3 linked regions of the Rattus norvegicus genome follow. The protein of the gene in region 2 interacts with the protein of the main gene of each other region in a pairwise test. Links are inferred from orthologs where the notes say so. Each region holds a gene or a part of one and is shown on either strand. Other genes may lie near its edges.

Region 1 (3,513 bases), on a different chromosome or scaffold from region 2:
ATTTTGGATGTAATTAAAGTGACTAATGTGCATACTCAGTGCCATTGACAAAGGAATGACAAATTTCTGGGGGGGTTGTGGGGTTTTTTTTTTTTTGTTTGTTTGTTTTGTTTTTGCTTGATCATTGTTCTGGTTTTTATTTTTAAATTATTTTTCTTGGATATTTTATGTATTTACATTTCTTTTTTTATTGGATTTTTTAATTTACATTTCAAATGTTATTCCCTTTCCTGGTTTCTCAGACATAAGTCCCCTCTTCCCATCTCCCTCCCCTTCTATAAGGATGTTCCTCTCCCCATCCACCCCCTCCCGGCACCCCCACCCAACATTCTCTTACATTGGGGGTCCAACCTTGGCAGGACCAAGGGCTTCTCAACAAATCTCTAATAAAGACAAATGAAGTTTTAGCCAACCTGGCGCGGTAGACATTTTATTTGATATCATACACAGAAGGATAACTTTTTTTTAAAAAAAAGAACATTTATATAATAAAATTACTGCTTTATGACTTAATCATACATTGTAAAATATTCCTAAACTTTGTTAGAATTATCATATACATTTTTTGGCGATTATTCTTTGTTTTAGAGTCTTTGTATGTCTTTATAACCCTAAGTCACAGCACCTGGTTTAATATCGTCTATATAATTCATATGCAGAAAGTTTCCAGGAATGAATTAGCTGGTTCTTTGGCACTGGTCATGATCAATATCTTGTCGGTAGCCCACCAGGCCTTCAGTTGTCACACACCACAGCCATTATTAAGTGACTGGAGGGATTGATGACGGGTTGAGAAGCTATATGCAGTGCAGTCGTAGTCATATGTGACTATGACAGGCGGGTAAGCCTGTATCCTGTCTTCCTTTCTCTGAGAAGGCCCTGTCAGTTCTGCCTCTGCTTAAGAAGGTAAGAGGCTGGGACACCACTTATTTCAAGTTAAACGTATTGTTGCATTGTGTGCACATGAAGAAATAGAAAGATTAGAAAGATAAAATGGAGTGTCATTTTTCATTCCCAGGGAGCTGGGACTCAGACATAAACTTCAATAAAAGCCTGTGTGTCTGGTCCATCACTTAGATACCATTACCCAGGGCAGGTTTTCGCCTAATACAGGCCTGGTTTTGAAAGCCTGTTGACATTCTCTTTCTTTATCACATTGATTTAGAGTGTCACTCTCTGCATTCCAGTACTTACACACTGCAAAATTAAATAAGTTGTTCTTGAGCATTACAAAATACCATGCTTGTCACTGTATTATTATAATACTCTACATGGCTGCTGCGTTGAGCCATTGGAAAACAGAATGGAATCACCTTTCTCCTTCTTAGAGTAGTGGGGAAGATCAGATCAATGGTCTGCATTTTAAGTCAGTGAAATCATCCGAATTCAACAAGTGTTCCCTCCCCTTGCAAACAGAAATGGCCTTGTCGTATTTCCTGTAACGATTTTGAGGCAGACTCAGTCACTGTAAGGCATCTGTTCATGCCGATTTCCCATATTCATACACTTCCCTGTGATCAGAAACAGATCACAACATGCTAGTCCTCGAACTTACTATGATGTCCTAACATACCTTCATTGTCAAGCAGATGCCTAGGTTGACAGCGTAGAGAAGTAACTGGCTTTTCCCTGCTCCCCAGCGAACTGATCCAGTTTATCACAAGTGGGCCTGTTATTGCCATGGAGATCTTGAGAGATGATGCCATATGTGAGTGGAAAAGGTTGCTTGGACCCGCAAACTCTGGGATAGCGCGTTCAGAAGCCCCCGGAAGCGTCCGAGCCCTCTTTGGGACAGATGGCATAAGAAATGCGGCTCACGGCTCTGATACTTTTGAGTCCGCTGCCAGAGTAAGTTGTTTTGAGAAATATTTTCCTTCTGCTTTGTTTGGGAAATTGTCTTGTGTCAAAGTAAAACATTTCTCCTGCAGAGGACTTTGGGAGGTTTGGAACAGCTAATGATGTAGCCTGGAAAACCTGGTGAAGTTTTCCTAGGCTCAGGTACCGTTTCCAAGCCACACCCCCTTTTAAAACGGTTGGTCACAGTTGTCCAGTGCAGTTTTCTCAAAGTCTGACATTTGCTACCACCCATCTTTCTGGAAAAGATTAATTTGCCGAGGCTCGTGTTTGTGACTTAATTAAATTAAGAGTACTAGTTTATGGATCTATAGTAGATACTCCAAACGAAGGTTTCATTTGAGTAGTCTGTAATTCAGATGAGGCAGTGGTGTGAACTAAGCTGGTGACTAGATCTGGAACATGCAGCTTACATGAAGAAGCTAGAACCCTAGGTCTTGTTCTCGCAAGGTAGCTCAGTGGGTAAAGGCGCTTGCGGCAAAGCCGGATGTTCTGCTGTGTTACCTGGGGCCCATGTGGTGGAAGCAGAGAAATTTATTCCCACAAGTTATTCTCTGACCTCTGCCCATGCACATACACATAGATAAACATAAAAATGTAATTAAAAATTCCAAAGCAAGAAAGGTTTCTTTAAAAAAGAAAGAAAAAAATCGAGGTTTTAACAAAAAAAAAAATAAGAATTATCCTGTGAGGAGCTTGGATGTGAGTATTGGTAACAGCTTGTTTGTGACAATCCATGTTACAATATCATAGGTGCCCAGGAGATGGCTGAATGGACAAGACACCGTGTAGCCATCTGTGGTACCTGATTTGTCAAAAAGAAAGGGAAAAGAAATTATTACAGCAAGGAAATCTCAGAATATTTTTGTTGAGTGAAAGAAACTAGAAAAAATAGCATATATTGTATAAGTCTATATAAAATTATAGAAATTAACTTACAGTGACAAAGCAGGTTAATAGTCAATAATAATAGTTAATTATTAATTTTTAAGCGTTCTGCCAACTGAATCACTCAAATATATACAGTGTTTGAGTAAATTCTCTTCCTCCCGCTTGCTTATGCTTTAAAGAATATTTACATATAAAAGTAGAAGGGAAACCATTAGAGAAGAGGATGGGATAGAGGGAAAAGGGAGAGTAACGTGGGATTGGTAAGATCACAGTGCGTGTGGACCTCTATGAAAATGTCCCCAGGAGGCCTATTTTCTATATAATTAATGTATTCTAATAAAATATAAAATGTATTAGTATAGCATATTAACATATCTGTTATTATCTTTGACTTTTTTAATTGTAAACTTGAATCACGGTCTCACTATGTAGCCATAGTTGGCCTGGGACTTGTTCTGTCGGCCAGGGGACTTACTAGCCTTTTGCCTCTGTCTCCAGAATGGCAGGTTTGATCTTTCAAGTATAAATTTAGTGAAAAGAAAATACTCAGAGTCAGGTTTTGTTCTAGGTGTTTGGAAGCCAGTAAGATCTGCAAATTGGTCCTTTTCTTCAAATGTATAATGTTACAGTAGGTGACAAGTCCTTGAATAGTCACAGCTGGGATGGATACATGGTGCTGGTGGGGGTGTCAGGGAGAGCTTTGTAGAGGTGAGCCCATTCAGAGAGTCCTTTGCTCCTGGCAGATGTTGGAGCAAGGAACAGGTTTTT
Region 2 (4,030 bases):
TGGGTGGCAAACAGGCCTGGAGCTGCCTGAGTTGCAAGTTGGGAGAGCCAAGTCCTTGGCAGGATTCCAACCTTGGGGAAGGAAGGGGGTCTCACCTGGATCCCTTCAAGGAAGAAAGATAGGTGCTCTCTCGGGCTACTTGGCGGGACAGTGAGAAAAGTTCTACCCTTCGAAGTAAAAGGGTGTTGTCCCTCATGCAGAACTGGGCAGCAGCCTCATTGATGGTCAACTGTGGCAAGAGGACAATCAGTGTGAGTTCTTGGTTCTCCTACTGCTTTTCCCCTTCACCACCAAGGGAGGCCCATCCAAAGAATGCCTGCTTTAAATAATACCCAGGACTTAACTGCCTGAACTTAGAGACTGTCCCTCCCAAGGCCTCCTGTTCCTGGCATGTGAGCAGCACAGGGTTTCGTTGCCATTATTCTTCCCTTAGGTTGAGGGAAGTGAGGCAGCAGCTGGGGTTGGGTATGTGTGGGTGTGTGGAAGGAACTGGGGTGGTCAAGGGGACAGTGATACAGAGGTGGAGGATTCTGAGGCAAGTGAACTGAGCCCAGGAGTGAAGGGCAGTCCTGAAGACCCAGGTACTCACCTCGTGCAAGCTAAGCTGTTTGCCCTCACGCCGTTTGGAATCCAAGCGGCCATAGATGATGCTATATTTTCGGATCTCCTCTTCTTTCTGGCTGTCGTTATCATCCATCTCAAAGATGTGCCCCACACTCCGTGCCAGCTTCTTATTCAGCTTCAACAGGGATGTGATCTCTCCAGTGTCACCCCTGGGGAAACTCCGGAAGATCCTCTCCACACTCTCTACCACCATTCGCACCATCTCTGGTTCCAGGCGGTCTGGACCACCCCCTGTGCCACCTGCAGCCACCCCCCCAGCCCCAGTCCCCTCAGGGACTCCTCCCCCTGCAGGGGGGGAGAAAGGGGGAGACCCGGCCTCCTCTTCTCCTCCTGCTCCAACATCAGATTCTGGAGTGCTCTGGCCTGGCCAGATCCGGGGATCCCCTGCACCAGGTCCTCCAGGAAGTGGTGATAGCTTCTCTCCAAGTTCAAGGGGACTCTTGGGGCTAAAGCTTCGAGCACTGCCCGCCTTTTCTCCTGGGCTGCCATGCCCATTGCTCATGCTCCCTTTCCGGGTACCAGCTGTCTCAGAGATCTTGAAAAGTGGGATGCTGGAGACAGGCACAGCAGGCACTGGTTGGCTGAAGAGCCCTGGGTTGGTGGCCCATTCTCTCAGAGCCTTCTGTAGACGTCGGACATGGAGTGGTTTGGTGGCCATGCCCACAAGTGCCATGATTTCCAGGAACTCCTCCTCGCCCGCCTCACACAGCTGCTGTACATCATCCCCTCCCTGCTGGATGAAGGTCTCGTAGTAAGAAAGAAGGTTGGCACGCTGCAGGACCCGGTACAGCTGCAGCTCACCCAGTGTTCGAGGCAGTGCCATGGTTGAGGCACTTGCCCTGAGAAGGAAGGGCAGGAGACAGGCGGTGAGTACAAGTGTCCTGCTGGGTACCAACCAACCCACACTAACAGTTGTCCTCTTTCCTGCCCAGTGCCCAAGGTTGAGAATGGAGCATTGCTCAGTGGCACAAACATCCCATATTAAAGTTAACTTAGAATACTAGGGGCTACTGCTGGCCACTTCACTCCTTGCCCAGGTAGCTGGGAGGGAGGGGTGTGGCCTCTTCCTTGGCCTTTAGGGAACCTGGTAGACCCTTGCTCATGTCCTTAGGTTCCAGGGTTTAAAAGCACTCTTCCTAGAATCTGTCCGAACTTTCTAGGCTGCCCAGTACCCTTCCAGTTACCCCCTCTCCTTTGATTGGTCCTTCTCTTCTGGGAAAGGGGGAGGGAAGCCTTGATTGTTCTGCTCTGGGGCCGTTCTTCCCACACACTCCCACAGGAGCAGCGTCTGTAGGCGAAAACTGCCTGGGGGCTCCCGCCTACTCTCTTCTCCTTGTTTTCCATCCTTATCTTCAAAAGGGAGTGCGAGAGAGACTGAAGGCCTCTTGAGGAAGGGGCTGCATGCGGGGGCTACCCCTCCTCATTCAGTGAATGGTCATTTCATGACAAGGGAGGCCTGAAGCACACCCCCTTCAGGCCCACAGATGCTTAACTCAAAGGAACCACCTTCTCCCAGACCTAGGGGTGGTGCGCTGCCGGCTAATGACACACTAAGACAGCTAAGCTCCCCCACCCCTCACTGTTGACAGATCAAGCTCTGGAGCTCTCCCTGGCGCTGGGGGACAGTCTTTGTAGGGCCTCACGTACCAGGTTATGCCCACTGAGTAAACCTGGAATGGAAAATGAGGCAGTACTCTATCGTAACCAGGCTCATTGGGTCTTTGTTTGCTCCCAGGATCCCCCAATTCGAATACTCACCCCCCCTTTTCTATCAGTCTCCACCTCCCACCTCCCGATTCTCCACGTCCTCTTTTCGACCCCCACCCCCTAGACCCCCATTCGGGAGTCCAACTCCACCCATCTCCACTCCCTGCCACCTCCTTTTGCCCACTAACTTGACTCTGGGTTGTGGGGTCCGGCGGGTGTTATCCGCTCTGCCAGGTGGCTGCTCCGCTGTGGGAGAGGGCGCTCTGTGCATGGACGGCCAGAGATCACCCGTGCCTCCCGTCTCGGTGCCCGGCGCCTGCTGCGCGCTGCTCTTTGCCTGGAGCGCGCGCGGCCCGGGTCCACCGCTGTCCTGGCTCCGTCCCTCCCTCCACGTCTTCTCTCTCGGAGCCTCCGCGCCTCTGTCTGTGCCTCTGCCCCCACCTCCCCGGCTGAGCTTGCCGCCTCTCCGCGCCTCCTCCCCCGCAGGACGCACAGGGAGCGAGGCCCCGCGCTGCGCTGGCTGCCGGGCTGGCGGGAGGAGGGCGTGGGCAGAACCGGGGGCTGGGACCGGAGGCGGTGGGTGGGAGCCCAGGCCTGAGCCTCCGAGAGGCTGCTGCGGAGACTGAGAGGAGGAGACTTGGGGGAAGGTGGGGGGAAGGTGTGGAGCAGGAGGCGGAGGCGGGGACTCAAGAATCGGGCTCCGAGTTGGGGACTGAGGTGACCGAGGCCGAGCTATGGAGGGGGGAGCTTGGGGACCCAACGGGCGGGGCAGGTCGCTCCTTGCCGCCCACGCCGGATGCACAGCCGGCCCTCTCTGCGCCCACGTACCCACGTGAGCGCCCCGCCGGCTACATTCCTACTCCCTGCACCACTCCTACTCCTGTGAGCCGAGAGCGCAGTTTCACAACCACGCACAAGTATACAAAGACACGCGCACGTACGTGCACACGCGTCTAAACAACGACGCGGACGCCCGTTGGCCGCACTCTGGCCGCGCCATGCCGTTAGTTTGAATGTTAGAAGTGATGGGAAAAAAGTTGGAGAGGGGTCCGGGTGTTCGGTTCCTCCTGCTCCGCTCCCGGAGGATGTACCCTTAGGGTAAACTTGTTAGCGCGGGGCTGCGCAGGAATCCCTTCGGTGTTTCAACACCGTTCTCTGGCCTAAAGGTTGTAATATGAAGAGGCGGCTCTCAGAAACCCTGGTCGTAAGTTATACTAGAATCTACTACTTACATGAGCGTTGGTTAGGCACGTCGGGGTTTGGTAGGTAGGACAGGGATGGGGTTACCATGCTTTTTTATTTTCTGATGGTCAGGCCTTACTGCTTGGATTGGACGGCAAAGCCAGGAAAAGGTGGCTGCCTTCTCTGAGGTCATGAATTATTGGATCTCTCTGGACAGTGTAGTGGAAGCTTGGCAAGAGGCTAAGAGTAGTCTACGTGACTGCCCACCACGGAGGACCGCCTTCAAGGAGCCCAACCCCCTCGGTTTCTTCTAGCCCCATCTGGTTCCCATTACACGCCCACGGCTAGGAGGGTTGGGGGGGGTATTGGGCACGTGGGGGTTGTGTAGGCCTTTGGGGAGAGAGGGTGGGGGTGGAAAGCGTGGCGGACTGGCCAGAGGGAGGAAACGTCCCTCTAGTTAGAAACCTCGGCTCCGCCCCTTTGCTCCGCACTTGAGAGTGGCTTGCCCCAGCACGGC
Region 3 (3,965 bases), on a different chromosome or scaffold from region 2:
CTGAGAAGATCCAGATGAAGAGACATTTTTAAAGGTGTTTGTAGAGCAGTGGTTCTCAACCTGTGGGTCTTGACCCCTGGGGCTGGTGTCGATTGACACCCCCCAAACCACCCTCTCCCATCCCCAACACACACACACACACACACACACACACACAAGATCCCACTCGCCAAACCCAACCAGGTCAGGGAGTGAAAAAGGACCAAAGGTGAGTGTCCGAAGGTCTGAGCTTTTGTGGAGTGAGAGTGTCTCCTCACCTCCAAGACCATGGAGCCGAATTCTTTATCTTTGTACAGTTGCTTGGCACAGGCCAGAATGGTGGATGTCTTTCCTGTGCCTGGAGGGCCATAGAGAAGTAGGTGTGGCAAGCGGTCTTCACTGATGAACTTCTGAACTGCAGGACAGGAAGAAGCAATGACACACGTCAGTCTCTGGGTCCTGCATGCTCACCTTAGCACCTGTTTAAGCTACATCCAGACGTGCTTCAGTTCTTCAGTGACCCAGTCAGAGCAGACAGGGAGGGAATGTCCTGGAGTCAGACCACGGTTTGTCTGTCTGTCTCTCTATCTCAGGAGGGTCTAGAAAGTTGAGAGCAATGGTTCTCAACCTGTGAGTCTTGACCCTTTTAGGAGCTACATATCACACACATATCCTGCATATCAAACATTTACAATTTATAACAGTAAATAGCAGAATTCCATTTATTAAGTAGCAATGAAATAATTTTATGGTTGGGGAGTCACCACAACACAAGGAACTGCATTAAAAGGGTCACATCTTTAGGAAGGTTGAGAATCACTGGTTTAGAGGCACAGCCTCATTGGAGGAATCAGGCCACCAAACACATGCGTTTGAGGTTCATACTGACCTCCATTCCCCACCTTCACCCCTACCCCCGCTTAGCTCTCTACTTCCTGTCTACTATGGAGCAGAATGCCCCCACTGCCATGAAGTTGTGCTCACCAAGGGTCTAGAGTCAACAGAGCCAAGCACGGTGGACCAGAACCTCTGAACCCATAAGGCAAAGTCAGTCATCTCTCCTCTCTGTTGTCGTCTTGGGGATGGGGGAGTTGACAAGGTGCCTCAGCTAAGCCGGGTGCTCTTGCAGAGGACCTGGTTTTGGTTCCTAGCACCTACAGGGCAGCTCACAATAGCCTACAACTCCAGTTCCAGAGGATCCTGGGCCCTCACCTGGCCTCTGAAGAAACCAGGCACACATGGAGCACACACTTACAATAAAAACAAACCAATCGGGGTTGGGGATTTAGCTCAGTGGTAGAGCGCTTGCCTAGGAAGCGCAAGGCCCTGGGTTCGGTCCCCAGCTCCGAAAAAAAGAACCAAAAAAAAAAAAAAAAAAAACCAAAACAAACAAACCAATCTTTAAAAATGTGTCCTCTTAGATATTTTGGTGCACTATGGAGAAGGAAACACACAGCCCATTCTATAAAGCACAGTCCATCCTTAAGTGTCATCCAGCAGGGACAGCGTCTTCACGAAATGGACCCAAACCCTCCCGCCAGGACAACAACAGCAGCAGACACAGGTACTCACTGGTACTCAGGATGTCCTGGTGAGATATGAGATCGGCCAGAGTCTGTGGCCGGTACTTCTCAACCCTGAAAAAGGATTCACCATGCGTTACAGTTTATACGCCAAGAGTCATGGGTTCTGTTACATGCAAAGAAGCCCTTCACGTCCTAGCAGCAGAGGAAGAGAAACCCTTCACGTCTGAACAGAGTCAGTGGCACTCACAACCAAGAGCTGTTCAGTTACCACGAGACATCTGTCAGGCCGGTTAGCTGTAATAACTGCAGAGGGTCTTAGTGGCCTCTTTTGAGGAGAGGTCAGGAGGTTGCTGAACATCCTCCAGTGGGCAAGACAGCTCCCTGTTGCTCCACACCAACAGTGCCCCCGCCCCCAAGACAACAGCGCTGAGACTGCACAGCTTCAGTTAGGCATCGACTCATACTCAAATACCCACAAGCAAGTGAAGGGCAATACACTTGGGATTTGGCTTTCAAGCGGGAACTGAGTGCTGAACCATGCTACCGAAAAGAACAACCCTGAGTTCCAGAAGTCACACTCAAAAGACCACACCGTCTGTAACTCCACTCCTGAGAATTTAACGTGTGATCCAAGGCAATTCTTCCTCCTCAGTAGAGACCAGAAAAACTGAAAAGAAAGCATGGCTGGGCAGGCTTTGTTTAAAACACCGCTAAACTGCTGTAAGGTCTATCAGTATGCAAACTCTGGGGCCTTGGAGTGGATCCCGGGAATCCATGCCAGTAAAAGGAAAGAACTGGGTCCTGCAAGTTATCCTCACCGCCACAAAGGTGCGCTGCTACGGTCCCTTCCCCCGCAAATAAGAGGGAGAGAATGCAAGCGCTGAATTCGAACACGAGTTCGAATCCTAGCCTACCCACTCCTCCGGTCTCTGAACCATTCTAAAGAAACCCAGGATCCATCTGTTAGGGTCATCAGAGCGCAATGGCGATGCTCGAGGCACTTGAGGATGGCTGAGCTGAACTCAGGCATAAGATCACAGACAGTTCGGTTTGGAAGCGGAGGGGCGGCTTGCGGCGCAAAGGCTAGGTATCCGGCCGGGAGCGGGAGGGGGACATGCAAAGCTCCTAGGAAGAAGGGAGGGAAGCAGGATGCGGGGCCGCTCCTACCAGGGCAGGTTCCGGGCCCGGGCCGCCCGGGGCTGCTGCTGCGAAGGCGCCGCCGCCATGACTGACAGATGCTGCAGGGACCGGCCACCGAACCACTGGACTCGGAGTCCGCGCGCAAACCAACCCTCGCGAGTCTTCGCCTCCGGCTTCCGGCTTCCGGCTTCCGGCTTCCGGCCCCAGCCCCGCCTCCTCCCGGTTGCTAAGGTGCTGGTTGCTAGGTAACCGGAGTCGCGGGCCTGCAGCCAGGTTAGGGCCTGAGCCGGCAGTCTTAGGCTTTCAGGAAGACTAGAGACGCAGCACACTACAGCTAGACTTACCACAGGCCTCACCAGGACCGGATCCTGCCAGCGCAAGGGGCAAGCCGCAAAGGGGCAGCGAGTTCCGGAGCCAGAAACACTTCTGAGGCTGGGGTGTGGTCAGCGCACCCTTGGTTCCATAACCAGCAACACGCACACACAGTCACACACACAGTTACATATACAGATATACATCTACATACATTCCCATTCGCGGACACTCACACACTTACATACAAACATATACGTTTGCACTCACACATATACACATATGTATACACAAATACACAGTTGATATGCACACATACACACGCATACATATATACTCACATCATACACATGTATAATACATATCTACACACAGAACATATTCAGACATATACACATAAGTACACACAGTTACATATAGACACATACATGTATACATATAACACATTCATAAATATACACACAGACATCTCTGTTTTATACACACACACACACACACACACACACTTTCTCCTACAGTGAGAGGATCACAGACCAATTTTTTATTTATTTATTTATTTATTTATTTATTTATATGTATTTATTTTTGAGACAGGGTTTCTCTCTGTAGTTTTGGCTGCCCTGGAACTCGCTCTGTAGATCAGGCAAGCCTCAAACTCAGAGATCCACCTGCACTTCTACATCCCAAGTGCTGGGATTAAAAGAGAGCTCCACTTACCTGGCGACCAATTTTATTTTCCTCTTTTTTTTTTTTAAAGATTTATTTATTTAATATATCTGACTACAGGGGTTGGGGATTTAGCTCAGTGGTAGAGCGCTTGCCTAGCAAGCGCAAGGCCCTGGGTTTGGTCCCCAGCTCCGAAAAAAAGAAAAAAGAAAAAGAAAAAAGAAAAAAATATATCTGAGTACAGTGTAGCTGTCTTCAGACACACCAGAAGAGGGCATCACTTCCCATTAAGATGGTTATAAGCCACCATGTGGTTGCTGGGAATTGAACTCAGGACCTCTG

Evidence for each region.
Region 1: the proteins of Nab2 (region 2) and Nme7 interact in binary tests that used the Homo sapiens proteins (3 or more experiments, as listed by UniProt). The two-hybrid records come from large-scale screens. The link is inferred for Rattus norvegicus from reciprocal best matches to the Homo sapiens genes NAB2 and NME7.
Region 3: the proteins of Nab2 (region 2) and Rfc5 interact in binary tests that used the Homo sapiens proteins (3 or more experiments, as listed by UniProt). The link is inferred for Rattus norvegicus from reciprocal best matches to the Homo sapiens genes NAB2 and RFC5.

Annotation. Positions count from the first base shown.
Region 1 is NC_086031.1:79,224,961-79,228,473, forward strand, and holds part of Nme7 (nucleoside diphosphate kinase 7), read left to right. Parts: intron 1-1,640; coding exon 1,641-1,848; intron 1,849-3,513. UniProt on the Homo sapiens protein: Possesses an intrinsic kinase activity. Displays 3'-5' exonuclease activity with a preference for single-stranded DNA. Does not seem to have nucleoside diphosphate kinase activity.
Region 2 is NC_086025.1:65,386,444-65,390,473, forward strand, and holds the start of Nab2 (NGFI-A-binding protein 2), read right to left. Parts: upstream 2,813-4,030; 5' UTR 2,603-2,812; coding exon 2,520-2,602; intron 1,464-2,519; coding exon 590-1,463; intron 230-589; coding exon 96-229; intron 1-95. UniProt on the Homo sapiens protein: Acts as a transcriptional repressor for zinc finger transcription factors EGR1 and EGR2. Isoform 2 lacks repression ability.
Region 3 is NC_086030.1:44,867,169-44,871,133, reverse strand, and holds the start of Rfc5 (replication factor C subunit 5), read right to left. Parts: upstream 2,813-3,965; 5' UTR 2,732-2,812; coding exon 2,673-2,731; intron 1,617-2,672; coding exon 1,552-1,616; intron 395-1,551; coding exon 258-394; intron 1-257. UniProt on the Homo sapiens protein: Subunit of the replication factor C (RFC) complex which acts during elongation of primed DNA templates by DNA polymerases delta and epsilon, and is necessary for ATP-dependent loading of proliferating cell nuclear antigen (PCNA) onto primed DNA.